2 linked regions of the Mus musculus genome follow. The protein of the gene in region 1 purifies or fractionates together with the protein of each later gene. This does not show direct contact. Links are inferred from orthologs where the notes say so. Each region holds a gene or a part of one and is shown in the gene's direction. Other genes may lie near its edges. The genes, in order: Fau and Rc3h1.

Evidence for each region.
Region 2: the proteins of Fau (region 1) and Rc3h1 purify together in Homo sapiens (affinity purification with mass spectrometry; 3 studies listed by BioGRID, with this or other methods). This does not show direct contact. The link is inferred for Mus musculus from reciprocal best matches to the Homo sapiens genes FAU and RC3H1.

The regions. Positions count from the first base shown.
Region 1 is NC_000085.6:6,056,610-6,060,175, forward strand, and holds Fau (40S ribosomal protein S30), read left to right. Parts: upstream 1-1,337; 5' UTR 1,338-1,392; exon of another isoform or gene 1,393-1,633; 5' UTR 1,634-1,641; coding exon 1,642-1,716; intron 1,717-1,818; coding exon 1,819-1,963; intron 1,964-2,534; coding exon 2,535-2,590; intron 2,591-2,739; coding exon 2,740-2,865; 3' UTR 2,866-2,915; downstream 2,916-3,566. Other genes in the region: Mrpl49 (39S ribosomal protein L49, mitochondrial), read right to left, coding at 320-470, 1,050-1,127.
Region 2 is NC_000067.6:160,961,809-160,965,627, forward strand, and holds part of Rc3h1 (roquin-1), read left to right. Parts: intron 1-462; coding exon 463-676; intron 677-1,670; coding exon 1,671-1,761; intron 1,762-1,899; coding exon 1,900-2,032; intron 2,033-3,141; coding exon 3,142-3,312; intron 3,313-3,819. UniProt on the Homo sapiens protein: Post-transcriptional repressor of mRNAs containing a conserved stem loop motif, called constitutive decay element (CDE), which is often located in the 3'-UTR, as in HMGXB3, ICOS, IER3, NFKBID, NFKBIZ, PPP1R10, TNF, TNFRSF4 and in many more mRNAs.

The DNA.
Region 1 (3,566 bases):
TACTGGCAATGAGACTTTACAAAACAAAACAAAACAAAACAAAACAAAACAAAAACCCCACACTGGACTCTGCATTAAGGTTTCACATACTGAGATGATACCCATTTTGTTGAATTTACATAGGGTTCGTTGGACTGGAAGAAGAGAACTCCACACACATGGGTCTTCTCTGCTTTTTCACTACAAGGTAAGACCTCACCCCAGGAACATAGGGTGCTGCTGTTGGTACCTTCCCCAGGGGCAGGACAATACTAACCCTCCTACATCTTAGAACTTCGAAACCCACTGGAAAGTCCAAAGCCTCTATTGTTCAACTCACCTCTGGGAGGCTGCCAACCACTAGGAGTGGGGTAATGTTTATGTTTTGGTGGCTCTGGGATTTTGGTAGGGGGGAGCAGGCGCTCCACAAATTGGTATTCATCCACAGACTCCACAAAGCCGGGGTTATCAGGAGGCCCCTGGGTCTGGCTCTAAGGCAAAACAAACCATCTTTCCTTTAGTTTAATTAACACAGGAGAACTTTAGCTTAAAAAAAAAAGCATGAGTAAAAACTTGAACTGAGAAAAGCACCAGACTTGGATATTTTAGTGTGCATGATACCGGGGGTGGGGGTGGGAGTGACCTGAAAGAAAATTCTCAGTCAGAATCCCAAGACCTCTCCAGGACTCAAATGGCAAACGTGCATAATCCGGAAAAGCCGATTAAGCATACGACTGACCTATACAGTACTCTTCAGTATTTGTCTTTGAACATGTTTTTGAAACTCTTTAACTCCGAAATGACATGCTTGATCGATCAGGCACCGAGCGGGGACATACAGCTGCTCTCGGTCTTACCCAACTCTTGGGATGCGGCAGCCACATTCCCAAACCCAGACTCTCCAAGCGCAGTCCAGGCTCTGCACCTGCCCTCTCCACCCTCAATCTACCCTCCATAAAATGAAGCGGAGTACATAGCAAATCTAAGGCCTCGTGAGGGAATACGAAGTTCAGGGTGGTCATGAGCAACAGTGAGGCTCACACACAGCCTTCTGTCCACCGGGCTCTTACCAGCTTCCGTCGCCCGTAGCTCCGACCGAGGCAGCTCCTCCAGTCCTGCAAAGCGGCTCGCAACACCGCTGCTGCCATCTTGGCGCCTCAACTGAGTGTCATATGCGCGCGCAGCCGGGCTCGCCCCGCCTCCCTCTGCGCGCGCAGGCCACAAGGACCGAACGCCTGCGTACAGCGTAAGGGGCGGGCTGGGACGGCGGTGGGCGGTACAAACCACCAGCGATCCGCGCGGTCGCGCTGCAGTGACGTCACACGCAGCAGGCGGTGAGGACGTGCGCGCCCCCACTTCTTCCTCTTTCTTGACTCCATCTTCGCGGTAGCAGCAGCGGCGTCCGCGGGCTAGGTGAGACACGGGGGACTGCTGGGCCAGGAGCGCTCGGTAGCCAGCGGTCTACGGGCTCAGAGGGTGCGGGGAAGGCAAAGTACAAGGGCGGTTCTGCGGCCTTCGCTCCGTCTCCATCCGGGTCCCCGGCGAGCCTGGCCTTCCGCATGGGAGACCGCGCAATCCCCCGCCTTGATTACCGTACCGCGACCTTTCTCCTGGGCTGCTCCCTATCATCACTCACAAGCCTTTCTTCCTTCAGTAGCCAACATGCAGCTCTTTGTCCGCGCCCAGGAACTACACACCCTCGAGGTGACCGGCCAGGAGACGGTCGCCCAGATCAAAGTAAGTATGTACTGATCCCTGATTCCTAACTGCACTCCTTTACCTCCAGGCCCACGGGGAAAGTTTGTCTACTTATAAACATTGCTCCTTTTTTTCCTTAAGGATCATGTGGCCTCCCTGGAAGGCATTGCCCCCGAAGATCAAGTCGTGCTTCTGGCAGGCTCGCCGCTGGAGGATGAGGCCACCCTAGGCCAGTGTGGCGTAGAGGCCCTGACCACTCTGGAAGTAGCAGGCCGCATGCTGGGAGGTGAGTGCTTTTTTTCAGAGCTAATGGAATGTCTGTAGGTAAACCATGTGATAGGTCCTTTCTCTGATAGTATACTTGTGCCTTCTAGGGACTTTAGATCGTAGTGATAGTTAAGTCTGGTTTTCAGTATCCCCACTAAAACCTGGTGGTAGGGAGGCAGTGACGCAATCGGATCACTGTGAATTCCAGGCCAACCAGGGCTACACAGAGGAGCTCTGTCTAGGAAAAAAGCAAAAGGAAAGTAATAATAATTAAAGTCTTGTTATTAGGTTCTCAGTGTGCTCCTCCTGTCTTTGCTCTGTGTGTAGAATGTTAGCTAAGAGTATGGATTGGTTTTTAGAGTCCTTGCCTTAGTATCTGTCAGCTCTCAGCACTGCACAAACTGGTTGTGACTTGAAGTGGAAGACAAGACGTGGACAGCTATGTTGTGACCCTGTCTCTAAGCCTGTGCAACTTTCATTCTTTGTTGGGCCCAACTTGTCATTAAAAAGCTCAAGAGTTGAGGGAGGAAGAGTTGCTCTGGGCGTGACCTTGCTACTTAACCTGATCCCTTTCCCCACCCCTAACACAGGTAAAGTTCACGGTTCCCTGGCTCGGGCTGGAAAAGTGAGAGGTCAGACTCCCAAGGTGAGTGATTGGTGTTTGGACTTTGTTTCTTTCTATCACAGCCAAGTGAAGGCCTTTGGATTTCCCGTCTGTGTTCTCTTATGGAGAGAAGCTGGTGGGCAGGCATGGGAGAGGTCACCCAGGGTCTGATCAGTCCTTCCTTTCCTCAGGTGGCCAAACAGGAAAAGAAGAAGAAGAAGACAGGCCGGGCCAAGAGGCGAATGCAGTACAACCGGCGCTTTGTCAATGTTGTGCCCACCTTTGGGAAGAAGAAGGGCCCCAATGCCAATTCCTAAGTCCTATTGCCACCCTGCCATGCTAATAAAGCCACTGTGTCCAGACTTCTTATGTTTTCTTCATTTGTAAGGCTGTGACTAGAGGCTAGCAAAGTGCCTTGGTCTCAAGTAGGAAAAAAAGGGGGGGGGCAGTGGTGGGGCACGCCTTTAATCCCAGCACTTGGGAGGCTGAGGCAGGTGGATTTATGAGTTGGAGGCCAGCCTGGTCTACAAAGTGAGTTCCAGGACAGCCAGGGCTACACAGAGAAGCCCTGTCTTGAAAAACAAAACAAAAAAACAAGGAATCCTTAGAAGATCACAGAGGATGTGTTTACTGAAAGGATAGCTGAGCCGAAATACAGAAATGTGACAAGTGGTATTGGAAAGGTACAGATTCTATGGGCTCTGCCAGACAGCTTTTGGGTTTGTGTTGGTTCACTTTCCATTATGACGGCACTAGTGTTTTTGTTACAGGCATGCCCTATAGATGATCCACTAAGGCAGATCACCCATCTACCCCTCTATAGACCTCATAATGCTTAACAATACAAACTAAATTTCAACACAACTTGAGGGAAAACATTGTTTTTTTTTTTTTGTTTGTTTTTTAAGATTTATTTATTTATTATATGTAAGTACACTGTAGCTGTCCTCAGACACTCCAGAAGGAGTCAGATCTCATTACAGATGGTTGTGAGCCACCATGTGGTTTCTGGGATTTG
Region 2 (3,819 bases), on another chromosome or scaffold:
TGTACTTACATATACTAAATAAATATATCTTTAAAAAAAGGGGGGGGGGTATCACACTGAAGTAACATTACCAAAGTAATGCTAATTCCTTAAATTAGGAAAAATAAAATAAAACTACTAACCTAGTATAGATGCCATTAAAAGTTTTTCCAGATACATGAAAGAAGCCTTAACTCAGTGCCTCTCAGCATTGACTTATAGCTCAGGGGTAAAGTGCTTGCCTGACAAGTTAATGTTCATACATATGACTTAGGAATGGGTAGATTTATCATCTACTATCATCTGTCTGTAATTGTTGGTCATATAATTCTTACTGTGATCTAAAACCAATGTTTTATATGACATCCAAAGACAGCTAAAGACTTATTCTTACTAATAAGAACATCATACTCTTATTAACAACCCCTTTACAGAGCTGGTAGAAATTATGCTAAACATACTCTCATTTTTGCTTTTTGTTAGAATGTAGAAAGTAAAGGAACGAGAGAGCAGAGGTTGGACCTTCAGAGAAGAGCAGTGGAGACGAGCGATGATGACCTCATCCCGTTTGGAGACCGACCAACAGTCTCTCGATTCGGTGCCATCTCTCGAACATCCAAAACACTGTATCAGGGTGCTGGCCCACTGCAAGCTATAGCACCTCAGGGAGCACCCACAAAATCTATTAACATTTCCGGTAAGAATCCTAGAGTGGTAATTATGATTCTCAATGTAATTCTATCAGTGCTTTTAAGACTTTTTTTTAAAGATTTATTTATTGGTTATATGTAAGTACACTGTAGCTGTCTTCAGACACTCCAGAAGAGGGAGTCAGATCTCATTACAGATGGTTGTGAGCCACCATGTGGTTGCTGGGATTTGAACTCCGGACCTTTGGAAGAGCAGTCGGGTGCTCTTACCCACTGAGCCATCTCACCAGCCTGCTTTTAAGACTCTTAAAGGCAATTATTAAACTTTTCCCTATAAGAAAGCAATTGCACTTCAGGCAATTTTAGGAGTATAAACTAAAATTAACTCTTTCTATATTAAGACTGCTTGAGGGGCTAAGGTGTAAAGCTCAGTTGATAGAGTGTATGCCTAATATATATGAGACCCTGTATTCAATACCCCAAACCACATAAACCAGCTATGGCACATGCCAGTAATCCTAGTACTGGAGAGATGGAGGTAGGGAGATCGGAATGTTCAAGTGCAGCTTTGGGTGCATAGGGATTTCAAGGCTATTCTGGGCTAATGATCCTGTCTCAAGGGGGGGGGTGCTGCTTGTGACTTTTATCTTAAATAACTTCATTATTTATTAAAATAAGATTCTTGGAGTCTGAGGAGGTGACTGGCTGGATAAAGAAGATCTGAGTTTGGATCCCCAGTACCCACATAAAATGTAGGCGTGCGTGCGCGTATGCGTATGTGTTGTGTGTGTAATCCTAGTGCTTTGGGAAGATAATCTGACACCAACCCTCACCCCTACATTCAAACACTCGTGCACACAGTGAAAAGAAAGTATGCAAAACCTGAAGGTTCAATGGGGAAGAAACAAATGCATTGTCATTTTGGCAGACAGCTTTCTGCAGAGACAGATACCGTGTGCCGCTGCCTTCTGGATGATAGTGCCTTAGATGAATCAAACTGGTAAATGACATCATAAACCACAGTAAACTGTTCCTTTACAGATTACAGTGCATATGGAGCTCATGGTGGCTGGGGAGATTCTCCATACTCACCTCATGCAAACATACCTCCTCAGGGACACTTCATTGAGAGGTACAGCCATTCTTGTTCACTTGTTATAAATATCTGAAACATTTAGCTTTCCTTGCTTTGTTTTCTAGTCAGTAGTGATTTCACAAAATAAAACTTTATACAAAATTTACCTAATGGTTTCTTTCTTTTTTACCAAAGGGAGAAAATGTCCATGGCAGAAGTGGCCAGTCATGGAAAACCCCTTCTATCTGCTGAAAGAGAACAATTACGGCTAGAATTGCAGCAGCTGAACCATCAGATCAGCCAGCAGACCCAGCTACGAGGACTAGAGGTACAGACCTACAGATACTTTTTTCTTGTGTCAGGAATTTTGATGTAGAGTACCACTGTGTAGCCCACATGGCTTCAGACTCAGGATCCTCCTGTGTGGCCACATTGGTACTTACATCGAGCTTTCAGTGTTCAGCACTGTGCCCGTTTTGTGCTCTAGTTCTGAAGAGCTCCCAAGAATGTTAAGTTGGATATAATTTTCTTTCATCGTGTATATGTATTTTGTGGGGTGGTATGTGCACATGAATACAGATGTTGGAGGATCTGCCTGGAGCTGGAATTATAGCAGTTGTTGTAGGCCTCCTGACATGTATGCTGAGAACAAAACCCAGGGCATCAACAAGAGCGGTATCTGATCCTAACCATCAAAACACCTCTCCAGTCTCCTTAAATAGTAAGTTCTGAGACACAGTAAAGCAGCACGTAATTTTAAAGCCTTTGCCTAACGTTAGTATAGATATCCCTTCTTCAGAGGATTCAGAACTAAATTTAGTTCTTGGCTAATAGAAAAAGAATATTGTCTGAGAATAAACAGTAGTGGAGGAAAAAGGAAAGAAAGCCTGCCTCAAGAACATTGAGTTTTTATAGAAAAAAATATAGGATTTACATCATGGAAAATAGCAATGAGAAAGAAAGATACACATTTATAATTGATTTCTCTTTGAAATAGGAAAAAAGATTAAATTATTTTTGGTGCTGGAAATATGTCTTACCATTCTTGCAGAGGATACAAGTTTGGTTCCTGTCTTACAACTGCCTATAACTCAAGCTCCTGGGGATCCAGCTCTCCTTCTGGCAGCCATAGGCATCTGCATTTCTGTTTAATGTGTACATCGCAACATTCACACACGCCATCTCTGTCTCTGTCTCTGTCTCTCTCTCTCGAAAATAAAACACATCTTTTAAAACTCACTCTCCCTTAAAAATAAAATACATCTTTTAAAATTAAAACCATGTTTCTCAAGTGCTATTAAGACAAAATGTGTTTATAGTTGGGTTATTTTTACTGCAAACTTGTGGCTAGTTTAGTGGTAAAATACTTTGGGTAAAGTGTTTTCTATGTGGCATGAGGTGCGCTGAATTATGTGTGTGCTTGGCTTTGTGCACTAGGCTGTTAGTAACCGGCTGGTGTTACAGAGGGAGGTGAACACCCTGGCAAGCCAGCCACAGCCCCCTCAGCTGCCTCCAAAATGGCCTGGAATGATCTCAAGTGAGCAGCTCAGCTTGGAACTGCATCAGGTGGAAAGAGAAATTGGGAAGAGGACCCGGGAATTGAGTATGGTGAGTGCTGAAGGTGGGGAAGGTGGAATGAACTCTGTGACTCTAGAGCTGATTCCAGGTACCTTGAGGAATAAGTAATATTTAGGGTGATTCTAATAAAGATGAGTTGTCATCTGGTGGTATTATTATTTTAGGTTTGTCCTTTGTCAAAGACTTTGGGGAAAACAAGGGAATTAATTAGAAATTTTAAAGTTTCTGTTTAATGTACTCATTAGGGAAGCAGATGGGATGGTTGCTCTTTTGGACTCTGTAATATTAAGATATGTTTACACAATAAAATGTTACTTTTCATGGTCTTTTATAGAAGAGATATATAGTCTGTACACTGTTCTCTGTACTGCTTTTTCATGCTAGTTTGCAGCATTTTCAAAAGGTAGTGAGAAAAGGTGGGTTGTACTGTATACTTTAGTGTATACTCTCTCATCTACCTGTTTTTTATTGTTAATTCTTAGTGAAGTAGGAATGACTTTTTGTTTTTTTAATCCGTGTTGTGTGAATTTGGTCTAA